4 linked regions of the Struthio camelus genome follow. The protein of the gene in region 2 purifies or fractionates together with the protein of the main gene of each other region. This does not show direct contact. Links are inferred from orthologs where the notes say so. Each region holds a gene or a part of one and is shown on either strand. Other genes may lie near its edges.

Region 1 (7,169 bases), on a different chromosome or scaffold from region 2:
CTGAGTCTCGTGCATGCTTTGGGAAAATCCACTTTCTTCCCCTGGAGAAATTGCAGTTTCTAAGTGCCGTTAGTCATTTTCCTTTAAAAAACCAGCATGAGGGGCTGGAAACATTGCTCCTTTCTTTCCTGGGAAGATGACCTGGCATCCTGGCATCCGGCCACGGGGCTGGCCTCGGGAGCACCAAGGGGAGGAAAGCCTCCGTCCGGGCAAGGTGCCCTCCGGCGGTGCCAGGCCGCGGCGTGTCCCCGGTGCCCGACGCCGCGCGGCGACTCCGCCGGGATGCTCCGCGTCCCCGTCCCGTCCCGTCCCGCCCGGGGGGAGCCAAGCTGAGCCCCGCGGGGCCGGGACGGCGTGCGGCCGGGTGCGGGAAAGCGCAGTGCGTCGTCGCCCTTTTCCCGGCGCCGCGAGGCTCTTCCGGCGGGGACGCTCCCGCGGGAGCTCGCCCGGGCCGGCGGCCGTCCCGCAGCGCCGGCAGGGCCGCGACGCCAGCCTTGCTCTCCGCGCGCCCTCCGCGCCCCTCGAAATACCTCTGACATGAAATAAGCCTCCTTATCGCCCGGCGAGCGGGGCGCCGGCAGGCAGCGAGTCAAGGAAAACTCTCCCGGCCGTGATTGCGGCGCGGGTGAGCGGGGGCACGGAGCGCAGGCGGGCCCTTCCCTGGTTTCCAGCGCAGGACTGTCAGCGGATGATTAATGGCTAACGCCAGAGACCTGCCTGGATTGCCAAGTGCTGTATTGTTAGCGCTGACATGTAACGAGCCCGGACATACTTTAACACAATTCTGCACCGTAATCTGCAAATAACGTTTGATAGACTTAATTTGTTAAGTATTTTTCCCTCCGCCCCCACCCCCTCTCCCCACTTTCATTCCCTTTCACACCCCAGCGCGCAGGGACCCAGCCAAGGGGCCGCCCGGCCATGCCGAGCTGAGCCGAGCCGAGCTGAGCCGAGCTGAGCCGAGCCGAGCTGAGCCGAGCCGAGCCGAGCTGAGCCGAGCCGAGCTGAGCCGAGCCGAGCTGAGCCGAGGCGAGCCGGCTTTTTATGCCTTTCCAGCCCTGCACACGTTCGGCTCGCTGCAGAGCGCTGCATTTCACCCGGGTGTTTGCAGCCAGTGCCAGCTGCCAGGCTGCGGGACCCTCCAGCCTCCTGCGACCGGCCCGTGCGCGCGGGCAGCTTCTCGCCGCGGTGCCCGATCCCGAGCGTGCGGCCAGGCAGGAGGGAGGCCGGCGGGCGCTGCCGAACGCTTCGCCCCCGCCCTGGCTGCCATCGGGGCGCCTTTTCCCGCGGTGCCGATGCCCCAAGACCGGCAGCGCCGTGGGAAGCGGGTGCTGCTGGGAGCCTCCCGGCAGCCTTCTGGCAGTGCCCACTCCGCGTGCCCGGCCGCACCGCCGCTTGCTGCATGTCTCCACGGGGAGGCTTCTTTTTTTTATTTTTATTTTTATTTTCCACCGCTGTTCACAACTGTCAGGCGGTGATTAATGGCCAGCAGGTCCGAAATTGCCTTTATTGCCAGCTCGGCATTGTTGCCGGTGACAGTTAACGAGGTTGGACAGAATTCTACACCACGCTTTACGTGGGGTCTCGGATTTGCCTCCTGCAGAGCTTGCCGCCGCCGCCAGCTTTTGTGCACAGAGCGACAGGAACAGCCCCGTTCCCGGGCCAGCGGGCACGGCCTGCGCCCCCGGTCCGCCCACTGCAGCCCGCTGCTGCCCTGCCAGCTGCCTGTCTGTCCATCCAGCCAGCCGTCCATCCATCCGGCTGTCCATCCATCCGTCCAGCTGTCCATCCATTTGGCCGTCCATCCATCCATCCGTCTGTCCATCCAGCTGCCCATCCATCTGTCTGTTCATCAATCCATCCATCCGTCTGTTCGTCCATCCATCCATCTGTCCGTCTGTCCATCCATCCGTTCAGCTGTCCATCCATTCGGCCGTCCATCCATCCATCCGTCTGTCCATCCAGCTGCCCATCCATCTGTCTGTTCATCAATCCATCCATCCGTCTGTTCGTCCATCCATCCATCTGTCCATCCATCCAGCTGTCCATCCATCTGTCCGTCTGTCCATCCATCCGTCCATCTGTCCATCTATCTGTCCATCTGTCCATCCATCCATCCATCTGGCTATCCATCCATTCATCCGTCCATTCATCTGTCTGTCCATCCATCCGTCCATCCATCCACCCATTCATCTCTCCGTCCATCCGTCCATCCATCCATCCATTCATCCATCCATCCATCCACCATCCGTCCATCTGTCCACCTGCCCATCCGTCCTTCCATCTGTCCGTCCATCCATCTGTCCGTCCATCCATCCGTCCGCCTGCCTGCCCGTCCTTGCCGACAGCCGCGCAGGGGCAGCAGAGAGGCGATGCAATAAAAAAATCACCCAGCTGTTGGAGGGGGGACGGGGGTGACTTTTGCAGCCCTCCTGCTGCAGACAGGCTGGAGACGGCGGCGTTAACACGGGCGCTTCAAAGACCTTCCAACTTGTCTCAATTAAACTTCGCAGTAAAACCCGCGGAACATTTTTATACGGGCTCCACGGCAGCGGGACGGGGAGGGGGATGAAAAAGTTTTCCAGTGCTGGAGAGCAGTGGATGCAATAAACCGTTTGTTCATGTAAAAAAGTCCTTGCTGTTAAAAACCAGAGAGAGTCGCAGCACAGACACCACTTAATGTTCCTGGCCCGAGGTCTGAAAGTAATGATTTTTGGCTATTTTTTTCAGGATTATTACAAATAATATTTACCTTTGTGCTAGCTCACATCTTGATACTGTTAAACACGTGGCCACAGATGGTTTCCCACTCAGGGTAATGACACAGCTCTGATGTTATGAAGTAAAACCCGGCCTGCAAGCCAGAACACCCCACATTTAAAAATCTATTACTTTCCAATATTATATGAATGTAGTTTGCTTCAGCTCAGAGCAATTTCCTAGTTTACCCTTATTAAACTGAGAGGGGGCTGAGCAGAGGTTCTTGATTTATGAAACACATACTAGATTCATTAAAACCTTTAAAGATTTAATACATTTTATCAAGGCCTTAAATCTGGGCAAGCATTTAAAAAAATCTAATACAGGGTGTATTTCATCTCTGGCGCCCTTTTGCGCTTATTTAAGAGCTGTAAAATTTGGATTGACAAATATTGCAGGTATTTCATTCTTTATTTCTAAATGGTGCTGAATCCTTCTGACAGGCTTGTTATATATAACCCTAGGAGATCTATCAAGTGTAAAGATCAAATTATTCTATATTGACATTTTATATGTCTCTCTTATGTTTTTTAAGTCCCCTTCAACAATTATAGATGCAGAAGATTTAATATATTTTTGCATGGTCTGTCACTTTTCCGATTATTGCTCCTCTGTCTGGGCCAAACACGCATCCAAATAGGGAACAGCTTTTTTTAAACCGCCGGCAGCGTCCGCCTGTTGAGCCAGGAGGAGAGGCCACGATGGGCTGAGGTGGCCTGTCCCTGTGCCTGGGGCCGGGGCACCCCATGGGGCACGGTGCCGGTGTGCGAGCAGGGGGTCAGCGCGAGGGAGAATTGGGCTTTGGGGTGCATCCTGGGACACTGGGCATGGGGCATGGTGGCCTGTCCCCGTGCCTAGGGCCAGGGCACCCCGTGGGGCACAGCACCCACTGGCCTGCGTGCGAGCGAGGGGTCAGTGCAGGGCAGAACTGGGCTTTGGGACACACCTTGGGGGGCCTGGGGACAGGGCATGGCAGCCTATCCTTGCACCCAGGGCCAGGGTGCCCTGCGGGGCCGGGGGCTGTGTGCGAGCGAGGGGTCAGTGCAGGGCAGAACTGGGCCTCAGGGTGCTGGAAACCAGGCAAGGTGGCCGGGAACGGGAACCTAGGCCCGCACGAGGGACCAAGGCATCCGGGCCTGCCCAGCCAGCACCACCGGGGCGGGAGGAGCCGCCCAGGCACCGCGGGCAGCTGGGGAGCAGCGCCGGCCGCGTCCCCGAGAAGCCCCGGGGCGCCGGGCGGCGGCGGCCGGTCTCGAACCCGGGTCTCCGCGGCGGCAGCCCCGCAGCTCTGGCGCCCCCTGGCGGCGGCGGCGGGGGAGGGGGAGGGAGGCGGGGCAGGCGGGCGGAAGCGGGCGGGCGCGCGGCGATGGCGTCACGGCGGCGGCGGGCGGAAGCGGCGCGGCGCGCGGGGCGGCGAGCGGGGCGCGTTGCCGGGGCGACGCGCGGGGCCGGGGCCGGGCCATGGCCCAGCTGGGCGCCATCGCGGCGCTGGCGCTCAGCTTCCTGGCGGCCGCCTTCCTCTCGGCCATCCACAAGATCGAGGAGGGCCACATCGGCGTCTACTACCGGTGAGCGGCCCCGCGGGGCCCCCCGTCCCGTCCCGTCCCGTCCCGTCCCCGTTCTTCCCCCCCGCTCGGCGGGCCGCGCCGCCCCTGACGCTCTCCGTTTCCCTCCGCAGCGGCGGGGCGCTGCTGACCTCCACCAGCGGCCCCGGCTTCCACCTCATGCTGCCCTTCATCACCTCCTACAAGTCGGTGCAGGTGCTGCTGCGCGGCCGGGGCCTGGGCGGGGAGGGAGAGCGGGGGGGGCCCGGCCCGGCCCCGGTTCCCCCCCGCGGGCCGGCGGGAGCGGCGGCCCTCGCGGCCTCCCCGGCGGGGCTCTGGGGGCTCCTCAGCTTTGCTGCTGAAACCTTTCTCTCCTCAGACCACGCTGCAGACAGACGAGGTGAAAAACGTTCCCTGCGGCACCAGGTGAGCTCCGCTCTCCTCTCCCCCTCGGCTCTTGGTCCCTGCGGGGCCTTCCCCTCGGTTACGCGCTCCATCGCGCTTTAAAACGCATAACTCTGTCCTGACAGACTTGTCTTCCCTCCCTGGTCCTAGCTGAAAGCGCTGAAACCCCTTCTCTAAGCCCGTGCCCAAGCCGATGTGCGGGCGTCCCGAATGTCTCGGTGCCGCTTTCCCCCGAGTTAACGTAGACAACGCTGACAGGAGTCTCCGTGATCTCGTTCTTGATCTAGTTAAGTTTCTGCTGGGAACAGATTGCGTTTCAGCTGGTTTCAGAACACTTTCCGAGCCTAATCTTTCCTGTAGCGGTCTACGTGCACAACTCTAATACTCTGAAACTTGCATTCTCTGTTTTGCCAGTCTGAAAACTGAAGCGCAGGAAGGAAGTGAACAGCTCAATGTCTCAGGAGAGCTGCAACTAGGAAAAGGACTCAGGAGTTTGCATTTCCCTATGGTAGCCACTAGTAATTGGTCTTTTCAAACCTGGGCCCACATACTGTGATCCAGTTCCTAAAGGACACTTGTAGCTAAAACCCTGAGTCTGAGACGCTGAGCGGGATGTGAGGCTTTGCTGTAATGTCGCAGCGTGCTGCACTGAGGGCTGTAAATGTTGCACTCAGCCCACTAGAGGGGAGTGTCTTCTGCTCAGCGGCCATCTGGCTGCACAAGCAGAACGTTTGGCCACTAGTAAACTTTATTTTTCTTCTTCTTTTTTTTTAATCTTGTTTTTGCAGTGGGGGAGTGATGATTTATTTTGACAGAATTGAGGTGGTGAATTTCCTGATCCAAAGTGCAGGTGAGTTCCTCCCTTTGACCCTGCAACTCCTTGCACCCAACATCTGTGTGACTTTCCTTTCCCAGGGTTCTTTGTGCTCTGCTAGTGCAAGACAAGGTTAGGAGTTTGCGCATGCTTGTGCTGTGACTGATTTGGAGCTAGGGAGTACTGCTGGTATTCCTCTGTATACCTTGTAAAGCCCCTACTTCCTGGACTTAAACCTTTTAACTAGCTTTTCCAGACATTTGTGTGTTTATTAGTTCTTGCACACGCTTGTTCTGTGTTACTAATTGCTTCACTAATACCTGCATGTCATTATTACTTTTATTAGCCGTGTTATTACAGCTGGACTGGGCGTTGTGCTTCAGTGAAGAGCTTCTGTTTTGAATAATGACATGTGCAAGCAGTAGGGGAGACGGGGAGTCCGTGAGCAGAAGGCTGGCATCTGAGGCACAAAAGGAATGACCGATGCAGTCCTTTCCTCAGACTCTCCTTGTTAACATCCTGTTGTTTATGAGTATGGTCTTATTGCTGGGCTCATCAGCGTCCTGCTTTGGAGCCTCTGTCATACTGCAACTTCAGGATCCTCTCCCCCTGCTGTGCGCAGACCCTGCGGTCTCTCTATTCTGCAAGTCAGGCACGGTCCATGTGTGCCATCTTCCTGGCAGACATTTGCACATAGTGCAGAGAGGGCTGATATGACTTAGGTGTTATTCTTCTCACAAAGCATGTGACAACACTGGCTAGAGTGTGGTGTACTGTTAGCAATAAGTAAAACTCCCCTGTCAGAATACGTGGACAAAGCGCTCGTCTGCAGTGCAGACTTCTCTTCTCTGGTGGGTGCTTTCTTGTTTCGCTGATTGGCACTGCATCTCTTGCTGTTGGTGGTGTGACTCAGCCATAAGCTTTCTACTGCAAGCATTTAGCCCCACCTGAGACATCCTCTGCACCAGCTGTTAACACTGGTTTCACTTCTTCTTTTGTAGTATATGACATAGTGAAGAACTACACAGCTGACTATGACAAAGCTCTTATCTTCAACAAGATTCACCATGAGCTGAACCAGTTCTGCAGTGTCCACACGCTGCAGGAGGTCTACATTGAGCTGTTCGGTGAGCTGCGTCTCTGACCTGTGACACTAGCTCTACAGGCTCGGTGCTGGGTTGATGGTTCCTTGAATGATGTTTCTGATAGCTGTCTGCGTGGTCTGTTGATACAGAAGTTGCTACCCTGTAACCGACGGGCTTTTACATATTAGTTGTATCTGCTCTGTTTTGAAACAGGATTGATAACCAGCTATAGTATTTACTTCTCATTACCTTCCAGTGCTGAGGGCTTCAGTATGTTGTAACAAACAAACAAAGAAAAAAAACTGTCAGAAGTAGCAGGGAGTTCTAGAGAAGCAAATAGAAATTCTGCTGTGTGATTTGTGCATTTAGCTAATGTGACTTGTTGAATTAGTCACAGGGTTTGCTAGTCCAGATGCAGAAACCAGTCCTCTGCACTTTGCTGTCGCAGAAAGTATGAACACGCGCTCACTGGCCTATAGATTTGATTAGCTTTGTGATGTGCCGTTGCTGCAGCGCCTGGCACTGTGAATGAGTGTTAGAAGACAGCAGTGCTTGGCAAAA
Region 2 (7,311 bases):
ATCCTCGGTCCGCCCGCGCCGCCCCAGCCGCAGCGGCATGGCCCGGCGCAGCCCGCGGGGACGTGCCGGCACGGCGGGCGAGGGGGTCCCCGGAGCGCGGGGGTCGCCCAGCCAGGCGGGTCCGTGCCGCAACGCGCTCTCCCTGCTCCAGGTGTACTGGCGGAGGAAGGTGCCGGCGGTGGACCGGCTCTGCGTGGCCATCCCCCCCGGGGAGGTGAGGGACGGGATGGGGATGTGGGGGGCTCAGGCACCCCTGGGTGCAGGCACGGATGGCTTTTGCCATTACCCCCATCTGTCCCGCGCAGTGCTTCGGGCTGCTGGGGGTGAACGGTGCCGGGAAGACGTCCACCTTCAAGATGCTGACGGGGGACACGGAGGTGACGCTGGGGGAGGCCTGGCTGAAAGGGCACAGGTGAGCGGGCCAGGGGGTCGCGGAGGGGCTCGGCCAGCGCCGCGCCGCTGCGTGCTCGCCCCCGCCACGCTCACCCCTTCCCGCTCTGCAGCGTGCTCACTGACCTGCAGTCCGTGCACCAGAACATGGGCTACTGCCCCCAGTTCGACGCCGTCACGGACCTGCTCACGGGCCGCGAGCACCTGGAGTTTTACAGCCGCCTGCGCGGGGTCCCGGAGGAGGAGACGTCCAGGGTGAGGCGGGCAGCCGGGAGCCCCAGGCACCCTGTGCTCAGCTCCCCAGTGCTCAGCCCCTCACCGCTGCTCTCGCAGGTGGCTCAGTGGGGCATCGCCAAGCTGGGGCTGGGGCCGCACGCAGACCGGCCCGCTGGCAAGTACAGCGGGGGCAACAAGCGCAAACTCTCCACGGCCATCGCTCTCATCGGCTGCCCGCCCGTCGTCTTCCTGGTCAGTGCGGGGCCGGGGGGCCGGCGGCTCCGAGGGGCTCCTGGCCCTGCTCCTGCCCCGGGTCACCCTGCTGCCGTTGCAGGATGAGCCCACGACCGGGATGGACCCGCGCGCCCGGCGGTTCCTCTGGGACTGCATCCTCAGCGTCATCAAGGAGGGCAGGTCCGTGGTGCTCACGTCGCACAGGTGAGCTGGCCCGAGCGCCCGGGTCCCGCAGCCTGGAGGATGCCCCTGCCCGCCCAGCCGCGTGGGGGCCTCACGCCTGCCCTGCCCGCAGCATGGAGGAGTGCGAGGCGCTGTGCACCCGGATGGCCATCATGGTGAACGGCCGGTTTCGCTGCCTGGGGAGCGTCCAGCACCTCAAGAACCGGTAACCCAGGACGGGGACTCGGGCACGGCCCGGCGGCCAGGGGGAGGCAGCCCTGCCAGGGCAGCGGCGGGGCCGGAAAGGCCTCTCCAGCGCTGCCTCCCTCTTCCCACGGCAGGTTTGGGGACGGCTACACGGTGGTGGTGCGGGTGGGCGGCCCCGGGCCGGCGCTGGAGCCGGTGGAGAGCCTGCTGCAGCGCTCCTTCCCCGGCATCGTGCTCAAGGAGCGGCACGGCGGGTTGCTGCAGTACCAGCTGCCCTCCCGCGCCTGCTCCCTGGCCAGCGTCTTCGGCGTCCTGGCGGCCCAGCGCGGCCCGTGCCGCATCCAGGACTACTCCGTGTCCCAGACCACCCTGGACCAGGTGCGCCGGGCGTGGAGCCATGGGCAGGGATGGGGACCGCAGGCACTGCCCCGTCACCGCCGTCACCCTCCCCGTCCCCGCAGGTGTTTGTGCACTTCGCCAGGGAGCAGAGCGACGAGGACCCCAGCAGGGACCCAGCCCCGGGGCAGGACCCGGCCCCGGCACCCGGCCCCGCCACGAGGCTGCCGCCATTCCTGGAGGACGAGAGCTGGCAGGAGAGCGTGGTCTGACGCGCGATGCTGGGGGCCGGTGCTGCCGGCAAGCCCCGGCACCCCAGAGCTGCGCGGGGGGGGCCTGGCCACATCCTGCCCGCTCCCCCGGGCACGGGGCAGCAGCCCCACGGGGAGGTCCGGGTGCCGGTGGGCTCAGCGCGGCCGGGTGCTGGGGCTGGCCCTGGGACCCGTCTGCTTTCTGCTAGAGGAGGAGCTGGTGTAAAATAGTAAGTTAAATAAAGATACACAGCGCTGCTCCGGGATCGGGCTGGTTTTCCTGTGCAGCGCTGCTGGGGCCCGGCGGTCGCTCCGAGGGCTCAGGACGAAGCCGGGTCCCACGTGGGGCCGGTCCTGCTGCGACGCTCCAGCGCCCAGCGGCTGCCGGGCCGGGGCGTTGCAGCGGGGAGGCCGCGGGCCCCAGGCTGGGCTGCAGTGGGGGCAGCGGGGGGGCCCGGTGCCTTGCCCCGCGTCGGGGCGCTGCCGGTGCTGGCGCTGCTCCGGGCCCCGCAGCTCCCCGGGAGCCGCGTGGTCGCCAGGAGCGGCCGAAGGTCAACCAGGATCGTCCTCGCCGCGGGATGCTCCCCGGGCCGGGGCTGGGCAGGCAGCAGGGCCGGGCGGCAGCAGGGGGTCCTGCCCCCCAGGGCCCTTCTCCCACCCTCCGCGCGGGGCTCCTGCCTCTTCCTCTCCGTCTCCCTCCGCGGGTGCCCCCGGCACGGGGCCGGGTTGAGCCCCTCCGTGCCCGTGGCCACGCCAGCCGGCTCCGTCAGGGGGCCAGCCCCGAGCAGGGGGACCCGGGGCACCACTGAGGCTTTGGGGCCCCCGTCTGCTCCCTCGGCCAGCGGCACCCGTCTGCGACGCGCGGGGGACCACGTACCTCCCCCGCGGGGCTGCCAGGGTGGGAGGAGGCAACCCAGGTCCGTCCACACGAAACGGGGCGGCTGCAGCTGCCCTCTCCGGCTGCTCCGGGGCGCCGAGCCCCTGGGGCATCCTGCCGCGTGCTGCGGGGATGCTCTGGCCGGGGCCGCCCGGGGGGGGCTCAGGGGCGCCAGGGCTGAGCCGAGGAGCACGCGGGCAGCCCCGCGTCCTCTTGCCTGTCCTGCAGTGCCCGGCAGGATCCGGCCCTGCTTTGCACGGCGCAACCAAGCAACGACGCAGGAACGAGGAACCAGCTGCTCCTAGACCGGGGGGGGGGGTTCGCCACCTGCACCCAGGGCTCTGCCTGCACCAGCGGGGCAGCTAGTGCCCGTTAAGGTGGCACCTGGGCGAGGAGGACTGGGCCGGGGTCTGAGCACAGCCCGAGCGAGGTGCAAATCCCCCGCCCCCGCCGAGGTCTCTCCTGCCCCTACGACACCTCCCTGGAGCCGTGGCTCCCTGCACCGTGCCCAGCCCGCTCAGGAGCCACCTTTGCGGCCCAGCCTGAGGTTTCCCGTGCCCAGGACAAGCCGCAATGCAGCTGGCTCATGCCACACGCTGTGCGCGGCTGCGGGCCCCCCACCACCCCGGGCAGGGCACCCCCAGCCCAAGGCTCTACCTCCAGCTGCCCTTTGCCCAGGGTGGTGGGGCGAGCACCCGCGGCAGCATGGGCACCCTGGGGAGCTGCATGGGGCTGTGGTGCACCCACGGCTGCGGTGCCCACGTGCACCCATGGTGCCAGCACACAGGGGTGCTTGCCCCAGGCTCCAGAACCCACCCGTCACCCATCCCTGTGGGTGACAGACGCGGCTGCCCCTGTCCCCAGCTGGGACAGAGACAGGTTGCAGCTTCCTGCACAAGGCACTAAACCCAGACCCAAAGAGCCATCCCGGGGAGGGAGGAAGCAGCGACGGGTCCAAAAATATGGAACGCTTCACGAATTTGCGTGTCATCCTTGCGCAGGGGCCATGCTAATCTTCTCTGTATCGTTCCAATTTTAGTATATGTGCTGCCGAAGCGAGCACGAATCCTCACTCTGCCGCTGAGCTATTTAAACCCCCAGTGTTTTATACTTTTTTGGTCAGGGAGATTTTTTTTCTTTCTTCACATGTTCTCGCTTAAAGAGTTGCATTTTAAACAAGTTAGCTTTTTCTTAGTGCTTGGCATCCTTCGGAATCGCAAAAATTTGGCCTTCTACGACGCGGAAGCGCAGAAGAGTGAGGCCAGCGCTGCGCGATGCATGGCGGGAGTCCTCCGCTTTGCATATGCCGCTGAGGAGGCGGGCCGGTCCTCCACCGTCCCAGAGTTCCCTTGTGGGGCGCTGCTCTTGCGTCGTCGCGTTGTCGCCGTCGGTGCTAGGGGCCGGCGGAGGAAGATGGCGGCGGGGCGGTGAGGGGCGTCGAGAAGGACCGAGGCGAGTGCGCGAGCGAGCGAGAGGCGCCCGCGGCTCTCCGTGCCGGGCCGCCGCTGGTAACGGGCCCCCCATGGCCGCGGGGCCGGCCCAGGAGCCGTGTCCCCGCCGGGCCTGCTCGGGCCCCGCCGTTCCCGGGCCCCGCCGCGCCGCCGTGGCCTGGCCCCGGCCCGGGCGCCGCCAGGCTTGACCCGCTCCCGCCGGGACCCCGCCTCGGCGCGCAGGAGGCCGGGCCGGGCCCTGGGCACCGACCCGTGCGGGCAGCGGGGGCGCCGCCTGCCCGGGAGAACACTTGGGCCTCCCCCCGGGCGAGCAGGGCCCCTCCGGGGCGGCGAAGGAGGAGCGGCCCCTGCGACCGGCGCTCGGGAGCTCTGCTCGGGAAGAGTGCCAGCTCGCTCCCTGCCCCCGCGGTCAGGATGTCCGAGAACCAGGCCAATGCCAACAACACCGGGGGCGGCGCGGCTGCCGGCGCGAACAACCGGGGTGTCCGCAATCCCAACCTCAACCAGAACCCCTTGATCAATGTGCGCGATCGCCTCTTCCATGCCCTCTTCTTCAAGATGGCAGTGACCTACGCCCGCCTGTTCCCACCGTCCTTCCGCCGTATCTTCGAGTTCTTCGTTCTCCTCAAGGTGAGGGGCAGCAGTGTGCCTTATTGATCGCTTTTAAGCCTGTAGTCAGGCGTTAAGGCATAAATTCCCTCCGTGTAACTTACAGCTCCGCCCCCCTGCCCCAGCTCGATCCTGCTCCTCTGCTAGGAGCACAGCCTGGTTTTGAACCATCCAGACAAAGTTGTCCACTGAGTTGGCATGCGCTCCTCTTTGGTGAGGAAGAAAAGAATAATTACAGTGATCTTTGGCAGTCCACAGAACACCAGAACTCTTGTATGGGGTCTATATATAAAAAGAGGGTGCAAATCGCTAATCTGGCTTGATGGATAGTTGGTCTAGCATGGATTAAAACCAGTGATAGGGGTATGAAAGGCTTCTGATTCCATTTCCAAGTAATCACTCTTTTCGGGTGTATGGCTTATTCAAAATATTTGATGGTTGTATTGCTAAAGTCTTGTCCTTTCTAGAAGTAATTAATGTACAACCCCCCCCCACCACGCGCGCACACTTTTTTTTAGTGGTCAACAACCTCAGCTATCTGTGGACAATGCCACACCTCTGCCTAACTAGGTAAAAAGCTGCCTGCGATTTTGTTGATGTGGGTGCAGGTTTGGGCCCTCACAGAGAGGGCTAACGTTTACGTGGGATATTGAAGCTGAATTCTTCTTGGGACTACCAGTTAGATCTTCCAAATTAGAATTGAAGTGCATTGGTCACAATGGCCTGTTGCTGTCCACCTGGCCAACTGCTCTCAAGCTGCTTCCAGGTCTCATGCTGACACTTCTCACTAGTGCCAATTACAGGAAATTAAGAATAAGGGGAAGAGGGGAAAGGAGGTTGCTAAGTGACAATGGTGTGCTTCCGTTATGAGTTTCTAAAATTCAGCCAATTTAAAACAAACATACATTGAGGACACCTTGTCTCATACCACACATATGTTTTCTCTACCAAATACAAAGTGAGAGCCTTTTCATGATAACATAACAAGCATGATATGACAGTGTACTTTTGTAATGCTCTCTTTTTGTCTGGGAAACGTTCAGGTTTACCACCCCCCCACCCCCCCCAATTGTATAAGTGGATTCAGGCAGACTGGAGACTGGAAATGGGATGACGCTAACCACTAGGCTGTCAGGTGAAATCAGCGGTGCTCGCCAAGCTAGTATCAGTTCTTTCTGTTGCGTGTTTGGATCAAAGCACACCTGAGGAGATAAAAGTATTCACAGGACATCTGCAGAGAACAGTCTTTTTCCAACCTTGGTGTTGCAAGTCGTACTGATTTAAGGCAGACTTTAGCAGGCGGCGTGGTCTCAGTTCTCTGTACATAGAGTATCCAGTAGGAGCTTAACTTGGACGCCGTGGTCCTGCAAACTGCTGGTCAGGTGAATCCCTGAAACTGCTTATGGTTCTGTTGGCCTCATCGTGGCCAACAGAGACAAGAGAGAGATGTTCACATAAGATGTTGTTAGATTAGAGAAAAGGTGGGATTTGCTCTGTATTAATGGTAGTCCTGCCCTTTTTCTAATTTTCCTTGCTATGCAGCTCCTCCACAGATCTGACTCTTTTACCAATCTGTTTATTCATAGCAAGTAGGTCAAGAAGAATGTGTAGCAAGGACAGATAGTTTACTTAAAAATAAGCACCTTAATGCAGTTGCAAAATGAATGTATCATATGTAGCTGTACTGTTTGCTGCGCTAGAGCTCCTCCAAATTCTGAGCTGTGAACTTTGGACAGTACTGGTTTACATCATGCTAGATTTCTTGTCTTTACTATAAGGAATAGACTTTATTAGCCCGCTTCATTTTACTGTGACTTCATAGCTATTCTCTTGATTGAAAAGCATCTTCTGACTAGTTATGAAATTGGTATGCTCCAGCCTGAAAGTCTTTTTGAAGTTTGACAAACTAGTAACTAGTAGTCTGATGATTTGTCTGAATTTTAGGTCAGCAGACATACTTGTTGCAACAAGTGGTTTTATTTTAATAACAATATCCCGTTGCTGGTACCGGATGGTGCTCTTGGACTTAATTGCATTGGTGTGATAGGCAAGGACTTTCTCTCTAATTGGTGGGCTTGGTTATGTGTAAGAGAGACCTCAGCTTGGACTTGCTTAAAACTCTTGAGATAGTAAAATGTTGCTAAGATAGAAAAACAGCTATTTCCTGGTAATCAGCACAGAGATTTGCCAATTTAATGAAAAATACTCCTCTGCAGCTTTAAACAGGTACTCTTCCAGTGTCTTGTATCATGTTGGGGATCGCAGACTTAGGTTAGTATATAGTGATAGCGCTAGAAGGAACAGGATTGGACCATCTTACAGTCTATATTGTCTTGGGGGGTTCAAAGCCTGCAATATACCTGAATAATATTCCAGTCTCGTGTAGAATATTCTCAGCTTTCAAAGCCTGGGATTCTTTTCAGTTGACTACCTATGATGACAGGGTGGCCTGGCAGGAGAGGAATGGAAGAGAAGTTTGGGTTTCTTATTAAAAATCTTTGAGAGGGAGAGCCATGTTGCACTGAAGGGTTTGCATGCTGAAAGCTCTGAGGGTATCCGGTGGTTGGGTCGGTGTGAC
Region 3 (6,980 bases), on a different chromosome or scaffold from region 2:
CTTTGTCCTTTGTTGCATGCCTACATTTAAGCCTTGACACTGGAAACTGCTTGTGTGGGTAGTCCACCTTCACACAGCGAGCTGCAGGACCGTTTGTCCTGCAGGACAGGACAATTTGCAGAAGGGATTCATTCCTCCTCCACCCCTCCAGGTACACCCTTCCCCAGGAGGACATGGGGGCCCCGGTCGCTGGGAGCCCGGGAGCGCCGCGGCCCTGCTCCAGCCCAGGCAGCTCTGCGTCTCCGCAGCTTGCCCCACGCCAGTGGGAAAGCGAGAAGGGCTCCTCGGAGACCTGCTCCCTCCGCGGGCTTGTCCAAACTGCCACGTTCGGTTTGAGGGCTCTGCATTTCCCCAGGAGGTTTTGTCAGAAACGCTTCCGCAAGCCCGACCGTCCAAGGCTTTTGTGTCCCAGAGGACAACCTGTGGTCATCTTCTCTCTGTTAATTATAGCTTATTTAAATCATTTAGTAGCAGCAAATAATACATTTTGATTCTTCACCGTGTTTTTTCTCGTCTTCCTCCACTAATGCTCTGCTGCCCTCAAAGCTTTGTCTTTTCTTTACTCATTTATTCAGCTCCCACTTACCCCTAGTGCAAGTGCATGTCCTCCTGTGTCTGTGCTAGCCTCTCTCTGTCCCCTGAACCGGTGACACCAGTTGCTGGCTGCTGCCCGCAGAGAGGGCATGGCCCGGCCCCTCGATGACCGCCGCGGCCCTGAACAGGCAAGTGTCCAGCGCTGCTTCCTCCGCGTGCTGGTCACCCGCGTGGCGGTCGCCCTCAGCAGCCCCTCCGGAAAAATCGGGGCACAGCTTTGTAATTGGTGGGTGGGCGATACCAGCCCGCGCTCCCTCTGCCCCTCGCCGTGCCCCGCCAGCACGCTGCTCTCCCCCCTGCAGCTCGGCAGCACCGCGGTCCCCTCCGCAGCCGCCCGGCCCCAGCCTCGCTCCGCCGAGCCGCCCGTCCTCCCCCCGCGCTCTCGTTTCTGGCCCAGCTCCCTTCCCCACAAGACGCTGCCACGTCTTTGACCGGGGCTGACACCTCTCTCTCTGTTGGTAGGAGGTTTTGAAGAGCAGTTTCATCTGCAGAGGCGTTCAGCTCGCTCACGTCTCTGCTCCCACACACCCCGAGCATCGCTGGAGGCACTGAGGATGCTAAGGAGAGTCCTCCGTCCCGCCGCGATCGTGGCGCCAGGGGCATCTGCCCCCTGCCACCGCCCAGGGAGCGAGGAGGAGAGGGACCAGCACCGGTCATGAAGCTGGAGCTGGAAAAGGTGCAGATACAGACCAGACCAGGGATGCTCCAGCGTAAAACGACTGAACCTACAACTTCCCATTGTGCGGTGCAGGCTCCAAGGCAAGTTATGTCAGGAGGCTGCATCCTTCCTCTGCCGGAGAGCGCCGTTCTCCCCGTAGGCTTCCAGGAACTGAGGATAAGCAACAACGCCGCAGCAGCCTATTTTTAATTCTGCTGTGCGCGCTAGAACTCTGCTTTGGCAGCCCCGCTTTTTAGCTCTCCCAGTGCTATTTGCAGGTCATTAAAGACTTCACTCCTTGTGATCACAGCAGGACGAGCCCTGCTCTTGAGTTTTGTAGACAGCTGTACCCTGAAAATAAATGTTATGTTTGCAACACCTCCTGTCTCTACTTCTGCACACAAAACGGGATTAAAACATTATACAACTGCTAATGCTAACACTACAATTACATTTCCTGGAGCTTTAAGACCTCCTATCCTACACCTCATCAATCTGCATTGCTGCGCTTTGGTGATAAGCTGAAAGCAGTGCTGAAGAGTGCAGATCAGGCCTGAAGGAGGCAGGGGAGGAGGTGGGAACCTCGGTGCCCAGTTCTGCCACCCCTGGTTCCCCACCTGAATCTGGATTTCAAGCAGGGCCAGGGTCAGGAGGCCCAGCCCGTACCCAATCCCATAAACCAACTGGTCCTTCTGATCTGGAAGCAGTTGGGAAACGGGAGCCTAGAAGTGAGAAACTAATGAATTCCTCTGAGCCCCTTGTGCCCTGCAGTCGCTGCCACGCTCAGATCTACCGCAGCAGAACGGATGCTGGAGTTTGCACGCTGCCGCACAGGAGTGTTTCCAAAGCTTGATCTACTTTAACAGTTTCCTTCTGATTTTATTATAAAAATGTACTTATGCCACTGTGGAAAAAGTGATAGATCCTTGGAGGTGATGCACTGGAGAAAGCGGATATTGTCACCCAATGATCTCCTTTCGGCTTTGTTCTTTTATGCATGCTATGGATTTTTTTCTTCCACAAGTCTCCTCCATTATCTGATTTTGAGGGGACAAGTCCTTTCAACTTCAAAGTCTGGAAATTTTGATCAAATCCTTTGTTCTGCATTTAAAATTATTTGAATGTTTTTCAAGGACAGAAAATTTGAGTTCCTAGCATAGTCTGAAAGTTCTTCTTCAGGTTTAATACCAGATACTAGCTCAGTCCAGAGAGATTTTAAGACAAACTTTTTGAAATATCTTTGTTTATAAAAACTAAGCTGGAGACAAAAACTACTCCAACTAACTCTTAATCTGTCTCTCAAGCTTTCCATCTTAATGAATCTCGCAGCTACGATAATAGTATGTAAGGGGAACCACAGAGTCCCTCCAAGGATCCTTGTAACTTTGTCAGTTTTAGTCTGAAGCCTCTTCCGTTCACCTCCCTCTTGTATCTCTGCACCGTATAATCCATTTACTCTCTGCCAGACACCATTTCTTCGCTAAAGCGTGACTCTTGCCAAAGACGGACTCTGCCTGTGGAATTTGCTGTCCTTGGCTAATTGCCAATCTTGTTTTCTATATACAAATTAAAGAACAGAATATCAGTTCAATGATAAACAAAAATAGTTTAGCTTTTAAGCAGAGCTGATGACTTCATGATATTTCAGTTGCATGAGAAATTTAATCTAGAGAGTTTCCAAGAACATCATTGTCCCTAGGAGCAATCCTGGTCTTCCAGGCCTCCCAAAGCGCCACCGCCTTGGTAGCGCCACTGCGTCGCCAGTGTTTATGCTGACACGTGAACTTAAACGTTCTTCCCTTTGAGCCCAGACCCAGCTGCCGCGGCTGTTGCTTGTAGCACCTCCTTTGAGGTGCCCTGGAGCATGATATCCCCTTTGGTTGGGCTCAGTAACGCTGAGAACTTTCAATAGATGATGGCTGAAAAGAGAAGAGTCCTGCGATGGTGCATGATGACCTTCTGCCGTGTTTCTTCTCACCATGCTCGCCTTCCGCAGGCCACTGTGGGAAAAACGTGTCTCGCCCAGCTTCTGATTTCTGCAGTGAAAGCACCTAGCTGCCTGGGAGACCAGAAGAAGGCACATACATAGGAAGAGAGACGAGGAGCATAGCTAGAACCATCACGGTAGCAGTGCCTTTTCCTGGCTGTGGACCTGCCAGGTCCACATGGGGCTTCCTAGCAGAGCTTTCACTCGTGACAACAGCAGGCAGCCGCAGTACGCCTCTCCCGGCGGTGGGCCAAGGAACCCACTGCGGTCAGGGCGTCCCAGGGGGCTTGAAGCACAGCAAGCCCTGAGGGCTGGCCAGGGAGAGCGAGGAAGGACAGAGCGCCCCGGGGGAAGGAGGACAGAGCGCCCCGGGGGGGGAAGGACAGAGCGCCCGGGGGGGGAAGGACAGAGCGCCCCGGGGGAAGGAGGACAGAGCGCCCCGGGGGGGGAAGGACAGAGCGCCCAGGGGAAGGACAGAGCACCCCGGGGGGGAAGGACAGAGCACCCTGGGGGAAGGACAGAGCGCCCTGGGGGGGGAAGGACAGAGCACCCCGGGGGGAAGGACAGAGCGCCCTGGGGGGGGAAGGACAGAGCACCCCGGGGGGAAGGACAGAGCGCCCTGGGGGGGGAAGGACAGAGCACCCCGGGGGGAAGGACAGAGCGCCCTGGGGGAAGGACAGAGCGCCCCGGGGGGGGAAGGACAGAGCGCCCCGGGGGGGGAAGGACAGAGCGCCCTGGGGGGGGGAAGGACAGAGCGCCCCGGGGGGGAAGGACAGAGCGCCCGGGGGGGGGAAGGACAGAGCACCCCGGGGGGGAAGGACAGAGCACCCCGGGGGGGAAGGACAGAGCGCCCCGGGGGAAGGACAGAGCGCCCGGGGGGGAAGGACAGAGCGCCCGGGGGAAGGACAGAGCGCCCGGGGGGGGAAGGACAGAGCACCCGGGGGGGAAGGACAGAGCACCCGGGGGGGAAGGACAGAGCGCCCGGGGGAAGGACAGAGCGCCCGGGGGGGGAAGGACAGAGCGCCCGGGGGGGGAAGGACAGAGCACCCGGGGGGGAAGGACAGAGCGCCCGGGGGAAGGACAGAGCACCCGGGGGGGAAGGACAGAGCACCCGGGGGGGAAGGACAGAGCGCCCGGGGGAAGGACAGAGCGCCCGGGGGGGGAAGGACAGAGCGCCCGGGGGGGGAAGGACAGAGCGCCCGGGGGGGGAAGGACAGAGCGCCCCGGGGAAGGACAGAGCACCCCGGGGGGAAGGACAGAGCGCCCGGGGGGGGAAGGACAGAGCGCCCGGGGGGGGAAGGACAGAGCACCCCGGGGGGAAGGACAGAGCGCCCCGGGGAAGGACAGAGCGCCGCACTCTGCAGCCCCGTGTCCCTGCCTGCCGGTCTGGGCCGAGGCCCGGGCACCCCCCGTGCTGGACCCCTCGGCCCGGCCCGGCCCGGCCGATGCCGGGACCCCAGAGCCGGCTCGGCCCCCCGGGGCACGGGGCCTCGGCGCGGCCCCCCGCCGCCCCGCTCACAGAACTACACCTCCCGGCATGCCCCGCGCGCCCCGCGCAAACCCTCCCCCTCGCGCATGCGCCGCGGAGGTCGCCGCGCCTCCCGGCCCGCCTTGCGAGCGGGCGGGAACTACCCGCCCCGAGAGCCCGTGCGCGGGGCGCGGCCAGGACTACCGCTCCCGGCATGCCGCGGGGCGGGGCGGAGCCATCCCGTCGTGCCTTGCGGCGGGGGCCGGTTCCCCCGGCCCGGGAGTCCGCGCGCGGGGCGGAAGTGGAGCGCGCCGGGATGGCGGCAGGTGAGGGGCCGGGGCCGGGGCCGGGGCCGGGGCCGGGGCCGGGGGGCGGCGGCGGCGCGGGCTGCCGCAGGGCGGCGCGCCCGGGAGCAGCGGGAGTGCGGCGGCGCCCCTCGGCGCCTTCCGCCGCCGCCTCACGGCGCTGCTGTGTGCCCGCAGGTCGGTAGCCGCCGCCGCCGCCATGGCGCTGATCGAGGGCGTGGGCGACGAGGTGACCGTGCTCTTCGCGCTGCTGCTGGCCGCCGTGGTGCTGGGGCTGGCCTGGGCCTCCACCCGCGCCCCCGAGCCCGCCGAGCCGCCGCGCGGCCCCGCGCCGCCCCGCGCCGCCCCGCCGCTGCCCGAGCAGGGCCCCAGCGCCGGCCCGCCCGGCGGCCAGCCCAAGGCGGCGGCAGCGGCGGCGGCGGCGGCCCCCGATGGGCCCGGCGGGCTGGCGGCGGGGCTGCGGCCCCGGGCCGGCCCCGGGCCCGCGCAGGACGCCCCCGGCGAGGCGGGCGACCCCGCCGACCCCACCATGGTGCTGCGGCTGAAGTTCCTCAACGACACGGAGCGCCTGGCCCGGGTCCGCCCCGGCGACACCGTGGGGGCCCTGAAGAGGTGAGGAGCCGGGCAGGCGGCAGCCGCCCCGCTCGTTCCCTGCTGGCGGCTGTCCGGTTTGCCCGCCCCCAGCCCTGGTTTCTCTTTCCTGCCCTTCCTTGAAGTCGCTGTGAGCTCGGAGCTGCTGCCGTTTGGGCTCGATCCTGCCCGTCTCGGGATACTCGGACAGCATGTTCTAGCGGGCACCTTTGATCCTAGCAGCATGTCTGACACGGCTGAGGGCAAAGCCTGGAGGAGGGGGGTGCAGCCAGGCTTCCCGCACTCAGGGCAGATGGCGAGCATGTTTGCAGCCTGGTCTGGGGTTGGGGGGGAAATACTAAGGCAGAAGGTAGATGGGAGGGACTGCGTATTGGTGGAAGCATGACGTTTCTCTCCTTGTCTTCTCCAACCCAGGGCCTATTTCCCAGGCCAGGAGCAGCAGGTGCGGCTGATCTACCAGGGCCAACTGCTGCGAGATGACGCTCAGAGCCTGGCTGCCCTGCACCTCACCCACAACAGCGTCCTGCACTGCCACATCTCCCAGCACAGCCCGGCCCCTGCGCCCACCGGCCCCCACACTTCTGCTGACCCCGTGCACACAGCCCTCAACGTGGGCAGCCTCATGCTGCCGCTCTTTGTGCTCATGCTGGCTGTGCTCTGGTACTTCCAGCTGCAGTATCGACATGTCTTCACTGCCACTGCAACCACCTTCTTGGCTGGCCTCACCTTGCTGTTCAGTTTCATGGCCTTCACCATGTACCGCAGATAGCATTATCCCTGCACCCCTGAAAGGATCCTACAAGCCCTCCTACCTGGGAATAAACTTTGTACTGGGTGCAGTTTGCCCACTGCACCTGAACACGAGGGGGAGTCTGGGCTATTGACTACGTCTCCTGGTTTTTCTAGGGGGACTGTGTAACAGACTCGCCGGATCTGAGGGAGTCCGATCAGGGCTTGAGCCCTGACGTCTAGCCTAGGAGGTTGGCAGTCTGTGGCCCGTGTTCTGTAGTCCTTTGGCTCCTTTCTCTTTATGGCAGAGGGAGAAGGGGTGCTGCTGTAAGGGAGTCCCTACCTGGAGCCTGGCAGTGCTAGTTCTGTGCTACTGCCGGAGCCTTAACTGTTGCAAGTGCAAAGTGTTGTGCTACCTCTGGGGAGGGGAACTACTATATTGCAAGGAGCAAGTTCCTCTCTAACAGGAGGGGTTGAGGTGTCTTGAAGTGGTCCTGTTGGCCCCTGCTAAGAGGAATCCTGCTGTGCAAATGGAGCCCGTCCAAGCTCACCTGCCCCCATCTGCTGTTTGCACGTGTTTTGTGCGCAGGCTGGGTGCTCCTCTTCACATGCTTGCTCATCCACAAACTTGTGTATGGTGTAAGCGCT
Region 4 (7,461 bases), on a different chromosome or scaffold from region 2:
CATGCAGTGAAAAATCAGGTGTTGTGAGGCTGACATGCTTCTGCTATGCAAGATCTCTGAATCTTCAAACCAATTCTCTTTGAAGGTGCAAATACAGACGAGTGGGCTAAAAATTTGACAATGGACCAATATGAGTTGCTGTGCACTGATGGGAAACGGGCAAATATCAGGGATTACAGGTCCTGCCACTTGGCAAAAGTTCCTACTCATGCTGTGATCTCACGTCCTGAGAAAGCAAGTAAAATCCGTGAGCTGCTGGAGGGACAAGAGGTAAGTACTGACCGTAGAAGAAATGTTCTGCGTTTGTTTTTTGCACTGCATGTTCGCATTTTTACAGCAATGATGCTCTGAGTTTCAGAGTCAGTGAAATGTGAAAGATTTTGATTGATTGATACAGGGTCACAGCTCTGCATCTCCATATCCCTTAGCTTCCTTCTCCTTCCATCCTTTCAGATCTGTATTGTCTCCCTTGCCACCTTAGCAAACACCCATAGGTAAAACCTAGATCCCACTGGGTGCTATTGCCACACTAAAATTTTGAGATGATCACAGCTGCCACCTCCTTCTGTAGCCATGTCTTTAAAAAGAGACAGTCTGCTCCTATACATGTGTTTAGGAAACTCCTCTGGGATGCTTGGTCTCTAATCCCCCTGGGTTTAGGCATGAGGCAGGCGTGGAGTTGCGTGGCCCTGGGAAGATAGCAGTCTCCTTGCACATACAAAGTATTTCATCTACTGGTGTAAAGGTAACCAGATTAAACCAGCTCTCTGGCTTTACACTGAAAATGCTGAGATGAGCTCCACCATCAGGGGCTGTTAAGAGGCACTTTGGAAGTCAGCTCCTTTTGCTTTCAACTCTTGACTGGCAGCAACTGCAAATGGGCTTTGCAATGCACTGCGTTAAAACAGAAAAACTGGTTGTTTTGGCAGTCAGGCCACAACTGCAATTACCACTGAGAGCTCAGCCATCTAACCACATGGGCAGAAGATTAAGTCCTAAATTTTTGGAGCTTGACTAAGGGCTTTCCAGGATAATGAGTTCTGCACGGTGAAGAACTTAAGACTAAGAACTAGACTTGTATCAGGCTAATTCTTGCTTTCTTTTTACTTTTTGCATGCACTTATTTTTCATGCCTTTATTTCAGAAATTATTTGGAGAAAAAGGAACTGATAAAGACAAGTTCATGATGTTTAAGTCTGAGACCAAGGACCTTCTGTTTAAAGACTTGACCAAGTGTCTGGTTAAACTCCGTGAAGGAATCACATACAAGGAATTCCTGGGAGATCAATACTATTCTTCAGTTGCTAGTCTCAATACATGCAATCCATCAGGTAATTGTAACATCTTCAGGAAGAAGTCAATGAAATGCAGTTCTTAGCCTCACAGATGTGGAGAGTGATTTCTGTTGCTGTCCATTTAATTTTTTTGAAGCAAAATGAGGATAACTCATGAAGATGCCTACTTTCCCAGCTATTTAAATGAACTGAAAATTGACTCAAAATTTGTTGCTCTAGCATCAATAGGAATCAAAGATTTTTTACCTATCTTTTGAAAATATGCAGTTTGTGAAACAGTAAAAGAACCCACCCTGCCCTGTCAGTGCATGTTCACACTGACCTGCGGTTAATACGCCTTAAAGCTAGAAACTGAGAGCTCCCCCCCATTTCACCCCCATTCATTTACTGGCTTTCCACATAAGCCTCTCCGTGCTCACTGAATACTTGGTGATTTTTTAATTACTTGAGCCAGTGCCCTGGTGTTACAGTCCCATGAGTACATCTAGTCTGCTAGGCACCAACTCATGGGAACTGTTTCAGGGAAAGATCTGGAAATTAAACATACATCTGCAAGCTCACCACCCAAGTATTCCTGCACTGTCCCCTACAGGGCTTCTGCTTGCTTAACATACAACAAGAACAGGTAGCAATTCCAGACCTTGCTCCGCTCCAGTCAGTCGAATCAGTTGGGATTGGGGGAGTTTTTCTGTGGTACGCTGGATATGTTTTCCATGCTCTGAAGTTTTTCCCATGGTTGCGTGTGTTCTAGGGGAACAGGAGCGGCTGTGTGTTTCCTGTTCAAATGAGCTGCAGGCACGGTCTGAACTTCTCCCTGTTCTTTCCCTTTTCAGATCTCCTCCAGATGTGCACCTTCCTTGCTGACTAGTAGTGGTTTGTGAGGGACCCTCGTCAAAAGGGGAGGAAACTTTGAGCCAAGACTCTTCCTTGTGTCCTCGGCATTGAACACCTACTACTCACAGAGGACCTTCTGCCTTTGCTGCTTCCTTTACCCTTCCACATCATTCTGAAAGTGGCTGTTCGAAACTTTACAGCTCTCTGCTGCCATCACAGCAAGAAATAAAAACTCAAAGTCTAAATGGGTTTTCTGAGATTTTTCAAAATATTAATTAAGCCCATTCCTTTCCCAGTACCTCTTGCTGTGCCAGATACCACTTTGGCTGTTCTCATTTAAAGCTATTGGAGAGATTTTTTTCAACATTTTTTCAAAGTAAAATGGATTAAATATACTTTAGACCCTAATTAGCAATGCTTTTACCTCGAGTTATCCCAGTATTCTAGGCAGATGACAGTTGACTGGTGTGGCTGGCATACAGGAAGAGTAGCGGAACTGAAGGGTGGAGAAGGAAAAACAAAAGAAAAGAACAAAAAGATAGCAGTCATAAGAGGGAAGGTGTGAACATAAATACCTCCATCTTGTATCTCAACTGGCTGGGTCTGAATAACGCAGACAGCAGAACTATTTCCATCAGGCAGCGCTCTCAAAACACAGTACTAAGCTTAGACTTCTTTTTTTTGAACAAGTCTAGGACTTATTTAGAAACGTGTTTTGGCAGTTCACTCTTACGTGCTGCTGACTGGAAAACAAACAAGTAGGTGGATAGCCTGATCCATGATGAAAATAAAAAGGCAAGACTAAAAAGGGCCTGCTGAGGTTCTGTGCTTCAGAGGAACAGAGACGGAAACAAGCCATCAGGTCCCACCCTTGAGGTCAAAGCAGGCATGGCAGAGCTGATCAGATTGCAGCAAAATGCTAACAGCTCTTGATTTTCAGGGAATATTTTGATGGACTTGCAGTTATGATCTCTGAAAGTCATATGGTATGTGTTGTGAAAAGTCCTCTAGCCTAACTGAAGATTGGCTTAGAAGACAGAAACGTAGAGTGTGAAGGGAAGCAATGAAATTCGGTCCTTTACATTTATGCAGGATCAAGTACATTGGACAGATGGCTTGTTTAACCTGTTTTTGAGGACTAGCAAAGATTACACAGTATGCTCTGAATGTTTTTGTGTATTTATAGAGCTTTTTGTCCTTTATGTTCCTTGCTAATCAAAACTCACTTTAGACCTTACGCTTTCTAAATCTGTATCCCACAATTATGCTATCTGCACTACTTTTTTCATGTGCTCCACTTCTTCAATTTTTCAGTGTTTTATGTTCAGGTAGTTAAAGAGCTCAGTCAGGAGTTGTGCAGTTTCTCTCCTTTCTTTTCAATGTCTCGTTGTGCATTTAATACACGCTCCTGCAGTAATGGCCAACGTGCTCCTTCACCTCCTAGACTACAATGACCCATGGAGTCTGCATCTGGGTTTGGGGACCGTTTTAATGAATCCCTGTCCTACACCCACCCTTGTAACAGTAGTTGCTCCTCTTGTTCTAAAAGTTTCCAAATGCATATTCCTCAGGCAGCAGAGAGCCAGGATGCCATTGCTGCTGCATGCAGAGGGTAGGATGAGAAGAGATCAGCTAACGGCCAGCCTTACTGACTTCCCAACAGATACTGGGGGAAATTGCAGTTTGTCATTACTAATCAATTCTATCTTTTGGATGCTTCTCGCGAGCTGCTCACAGCAGCCTTGTCCATCCGCCTCCTGCCAAATGACCAGTTGGGCACCTCTGCCCTGGTGCTTCGCTGGGCCCTGCGCATCCCCTCTGCGTGCGCGCCGGGCCCCCTGCGACAAGCACCCAGGCCTGAAGCGTGAGGCACCAGCTCTTGGCTTCCCCCTCAAGACCGCTGATGTCGGGAGCCCTGCCACACCGACTCCCCTCAGTGCCCCGCGTGGGCGCCCACATGCCACGTCCTGGCCAAGGTCAACACCTGCTTCAGGCCCAGGCCCACAGCCCAGCCCTGGCCCAGCTACTGGCCCAGGCCCAGGCCCTGACCCCGGCTCGAGCCCCGGCCCGGACCCAGGCCCAGGCCAGCGGCCCTAGCCCACCTCCCCTCCTCGGCAGAGCTGGGCAGACCCTGGACGCGCGCCGCGAGAGGGCTGAGGGCACTGCCCCGGCAGCCCTGTCTGCAGCAGTAGCCACGGGGCCCTCGCTCCTCCGCCCGCCACGACAAGGCCCGCCCAGACCGGGGAAACTACAATTCCCATGAGGCTCCGCGCGGGCCCCCAGCAGCCCCCGACAGGCCGCGCGCCGGCGGCGGCGGCGGCGGGAGGGCGGCGCTTCCCAGGAGGCGGCGCGGCCACGCGTGCGGGCGGCCATGGCGGCGGGCGGGCTGGAGCCGTACCTGGACTCGCTGCGGCGGGAGCTGCGGGCCCCTGACCCCGCCGTCCTCTCCGTCCTCCTGGCCCTGCTCGTTGTGGCCCTCACGCTGCGTGAGTCGGGCCCCTGGCCCGCGCGAGGCGCCCCGCGGGCCGGCCCCGGGGTGGGCGGGGGGCCGTGTGCGGCCCGGGGCCTGGCCCCAGGCTGCGCCCCCGGCCGCGCTCCGGTGCCGCTGGCGGCGGATTTAGGTGATTTTCTCTCTTTCTCGTAGTGATCTGGAGGTTGATCCAGGGCAGGAAGAGCGGCCGGAAGGCAGTGCTGCTGCTGGGCCTGTGCGATGCGGGCAAGACGCTGATTTTCGCCAGGGTGAGCCACGACCGGCGTCTCGCTGTGGCTGCGGAAGGAGCCAAGCTGAGGGAGAGGTGCCCGGCTTGCGCGCCTTCCTCTCTGCTGTCTGGCCCCCCTTGGTAATGAAGAGAAGGTGTTCGGGAGGATTTGCAAGCCCGCTGTCTTCCTTATTTTTAAAAGCGTGAAGATTCGAGTATAAGTGCAGATTTTCTTTCCTTATTTGGGTGTATTTTAAAATTCTTCAGGAAAAAAAAAAGAAACGGTGTTATACATGCTAAAATTTAAAGCAGATATTTGAAGTCTGTTACTCTTTACAGATCGCTTAAACTTTTGAGTGGGTGAAACGTGAAGTCCGTGTTCCTTCAGTCTCCCTTTCTTGAAAATGTTTGATTTCCCTTCACAGCTGTTGACAGGCAAATATCGAGATACCCAGACCTCTATAACGGATAGCTCTGCTGTTTACAGAGTTAGTAACGACAAGGTGAGTAGGCACTTGTTTGATGCTTCATAAACGTACACAAAATTGTACATTTTGTGCACGCCTTTGCTCCTCTGTGACTAGGGTGAAGTTGACCTCCTTTGTTAAGCTTGGCTTGGTTCTCCTGCATTTCAGTCTTCCCAGCTTGAAATCAGTCCCTAGTTTGGTCCAAGCATAGGATAGGATTTTTCTGTAATAGTCAATGCATACTGGAAAGGCAGGAAAGATGGGGAGGTATTAGAGATTCCTTGTCTGTGCAGGCTTTTTTTTTTTTTTCACTTTGCTTATCGGAGTACGAAACTTGTTCAGCTGAAAGCCACAGATGTGTTAGTTTTGGAAAGATGGGTAAGTGTGTGGGTGCTTTTTTTAATTAAGAGAAAAAGAGTTGCTTTTACAAGCAGAATAAGATATACAGTATTGTGGGGACAGGGGCCTGAACGTGATGGAACGTTCCCCTCACACATCTCCTTCCTGCTCAGTTTATTTGCTTGGCAGTGATTTCTGTCACTCCCAAGAAAATCGGCATTTAAAAATTTAAGTAGGCTTAAAAAGACTCTCCAGTTGAACTTGAGATAATCTCAAAAAACATTTGACTACTTTCAGTTTCAGGACTATGTCACAGACCTAGTTATTTGCAGTTTATGATGATCTCTCTTTAGATTTAGAAATGTTTATTTTCTTGTTGCTGGATGAACACATAGTAGGGAAACTGGCAAGCTGGCAGCATGTTAAGTGCTGGTGTATAAGGTAAACTGTAAGACAGAGAACGTTGTCTTCTGGCAATCTTCAGTGCCAGTAGTAATAATAAGAGGTTAAAAACTTAACAGAAACAAGTGCATGGCCTTTTTTTTTTTTTTTAATCAGTGTTTCTTTAAGGTTGAGCAGACAGATGGGAAATATTTGGAGGGGGAGGGGTGGAAGAATGCTGTAAGACTGCTGCTTTTGTGATTTTTTTTTTTTTTTAATGCAGTCAAGGTTTCCACTAAAATCTCAAAGCGGTAAGTGGATAGGGTCTTGTGTAGCGCTCTCTCCCCGTCTTGAGAACAACCGGAGTGGTATTGAGAAAGATGACATGGTCCTGCTTGGCCTCATTTTGACTAGGAGTGTATGTGAGAGATTCTCTTTAATGTCACTGCTTTGTCTGAGAGCGTGTGGAAAGAGGCATTCACTGCTTTCAATTCAAAAAGTGCCTTCCAAGGGCATTTCTTCTTGTTATTCCCCCAGATTTATGTGTATTTAGGTAGAATTGTAGTTGGATAGATCTTCTGTGTGTGTGAATGCAGATATCTTGATTCGGCGGTTGTGAGATCAGCATTATCTATTAGGAACTTACAGGACAGGAAATTGTGATTTTGGTGTGCAGAGATCTTCTTGCTGCCAAGATACAGCGTAAATCTGCTGGTGCATTGAGAAAGATTACTCTGATGAAGCTTTGTCCTTCATGCTATGCCTGTAGGTTAGTTGAAGGGCAGATATTGTGAAGGAGAAAAGGATTGGGCGTTCTCTTCTCTCTAAGTCATGCTCTGTTCTCTCTGCTCTGCTGGATGGTTTGCTGGTGTTGGCTGCCTGCTTACCAAGTCTTGGCCATGAATGTCACTCCTCAGCATTTCTTTTGCCTGTTGGAATTGTTTGGGCTGGGGAAAAGACTGCATTTGGGAGAGAGTCGTATGCTTCTGTCCCGTATGGAGGTTCATCAGCTCACATCTGTCCCAGCGCCAAGCTAACTGGGATCTGCTGTCAGACTGTTTTTTTCCAGGCCTTGAGCATATGTACTACTAGATCATGTGTTGGTAATACCTTCTTTCTTCTGTGTCCAGAGTGCCAATGTGACCTTGATCGACCTTCCAGGCCATGAGAGTTTGCGGCTTCAGTTCTTGGAGAGGTTCAAGGCTGCAGCCAGGTAACTTGGAGGAGGGGGCAGGTGATGGCATTGAGATGTGATGTGCTGTGAGCTGGGCTGGATTCACCTCATCTGGTGGTGCCCTGATAGTCATTAGCTGTGCCTCGTGGTGGTGGGAGTTGGTCACTGTTCAGCTTTCCTTACTTACCTGAGTTTGTAGTGGGTCAGAAGGCAAAGGAAGTGCAGCTAGGAGGGTCAGGGGTTGTGGTATGTCCCTGGGACACAGAGCGGCA

The links.
Region 1: the proteins of TMEM259 (region 2) and ERLIN2 purify together in Homo sapiens (affinity purification with mass spectrometry; 3 studies listed by BioGRID and IntAct, with this or other methods). This does not show direct contact. The link is inferred for Struthio camelus from reciprocal best matches to the Homo sapiens genes TMEM259 and ERLIN2.
Region 3: the proteins of TMEM259 (region 2) and TMUB1 purify together in Homo sapiens (affinity purification with mass spectrometry; 3 studies listed by BioGRID, with this or other methods). This does not show direct contact. The link is inferred for Struthio camelus from reciprocal best matches to the Homo sapiens genes TMEM259 and TMUB1.
Region 4: the proteins of TMEM259 (region 2) and SRPRB purify together in Homo sapiens (affinity purification with mass spectrometry; 3 studies listed by BioGRID and IntAct, counting the BioPlex papers as one, with this or other methods). This does not show direct contact. The link is inferred for Struthio camelus from reciprocal best matches to the Homo sapiens genes TMEM259 and SRPRB.

The regions. Positions count from the first base shown.
Region 1 is NC_090968.1:6,909,581-6,916,749, forward strand, and holds the start of ERLIN2 (erlin-2), read left to right. Parts: upstream 1-4,164; 5' UTR 4,165-4,221; coding exon 4,222-4,328; intron 4,329-4,438; coding exon 4,439-4,520; intron 4,521-4,683; coding exon 4,684-4,730; intron 4,731-5,497; coding exon 5,498-5,559; intron 5,560-6,524; coding exon 6,525-6,650; intron 6,651-7,169. UniProt on the Homo sapiens protein: Component of the ERLIN1/ERLIN2 complex which mediates the endoplasmic reticulum-associated degradation (ERAD) of inositol 1,4,5-trisphosphate receptors (IP3Rs) such as ITPR1.
Region 2 is NC_090967.1:7,317,484-7,324,794, forward strand, and holds the start of TMEM259 (membralin), read left to right. Parts: upstream 1-4,300; 5' UTR 4,301-4,538; coding exon 4,539-4,754; intron 4,755-7,311. Other genes in the region: phospholipid-transporting ATPase ABCA7, read left to right, coding at 152-214, 306-412, 504-645, 724-858, 941-1,044, 1,136-1,228, 1,344-1,587, 1,671-1,817. UniProt on the Homo sapiens protein: May have a role in the ERAD pathway required for clearance of misfolded proteins in the endoplasmic reticulum (ER). Promotes survival of motor neurons, probably by protecting against ER stress.
Region 3 is NC_090943.1:449,608-456,587, forward strand, and holds TMUB1 (transmembrane and ubiquitin-like domain-containing protein 1), read left to right. Parts: upstream 1-4,965; 5' UTR 4,966-5,033; intron 5,034-5,189; 5' UTR 5,190-5,211; coding exon 5,212-5,624; intron 5,625-6,017; coding exon 6,018-6,372; 3' UTR 6,373-6,467; downstream 6,468-6,980. UniProt on the Homo sapiens protein: Involved in sterol-regulated ubiquitination and degradation of HMG-CoA reductase HMGCR. Involved in positive regulation of AMPA-selective glutamate receptor GRIA2 recycling to the cell surface.
Region 4 is NC_090950.1:2,691,207-2,698,667, forward strand, and holds the start of SRPRB (signal recognition particle receptor subunit beta), read left to right. Parts: upstream 1-4,444; 5' UTR 4,445-4,500; coding exon 4,501-4,615; intron 4,616-4,773; coding exon 4,774-4,868; intron 4,869-5,253; coding exon 5,254-5,331; intron 5,332-7,145; coding exon 7,146-7,228; intron 7,229-7,461. Other genes in the region: TF (serotransferrin), read left to right, coding at 86-270, 1,145-1,331, 2,129-2,163. UniProt on the Homo sapiens protein: Component of the signal recognition particle (SRP) complex receptor (SR). Ensures, in conjunction with the SRP complex, the correct targeting of the nascent secretory proteins to the endoplasmic reticulum membrane system.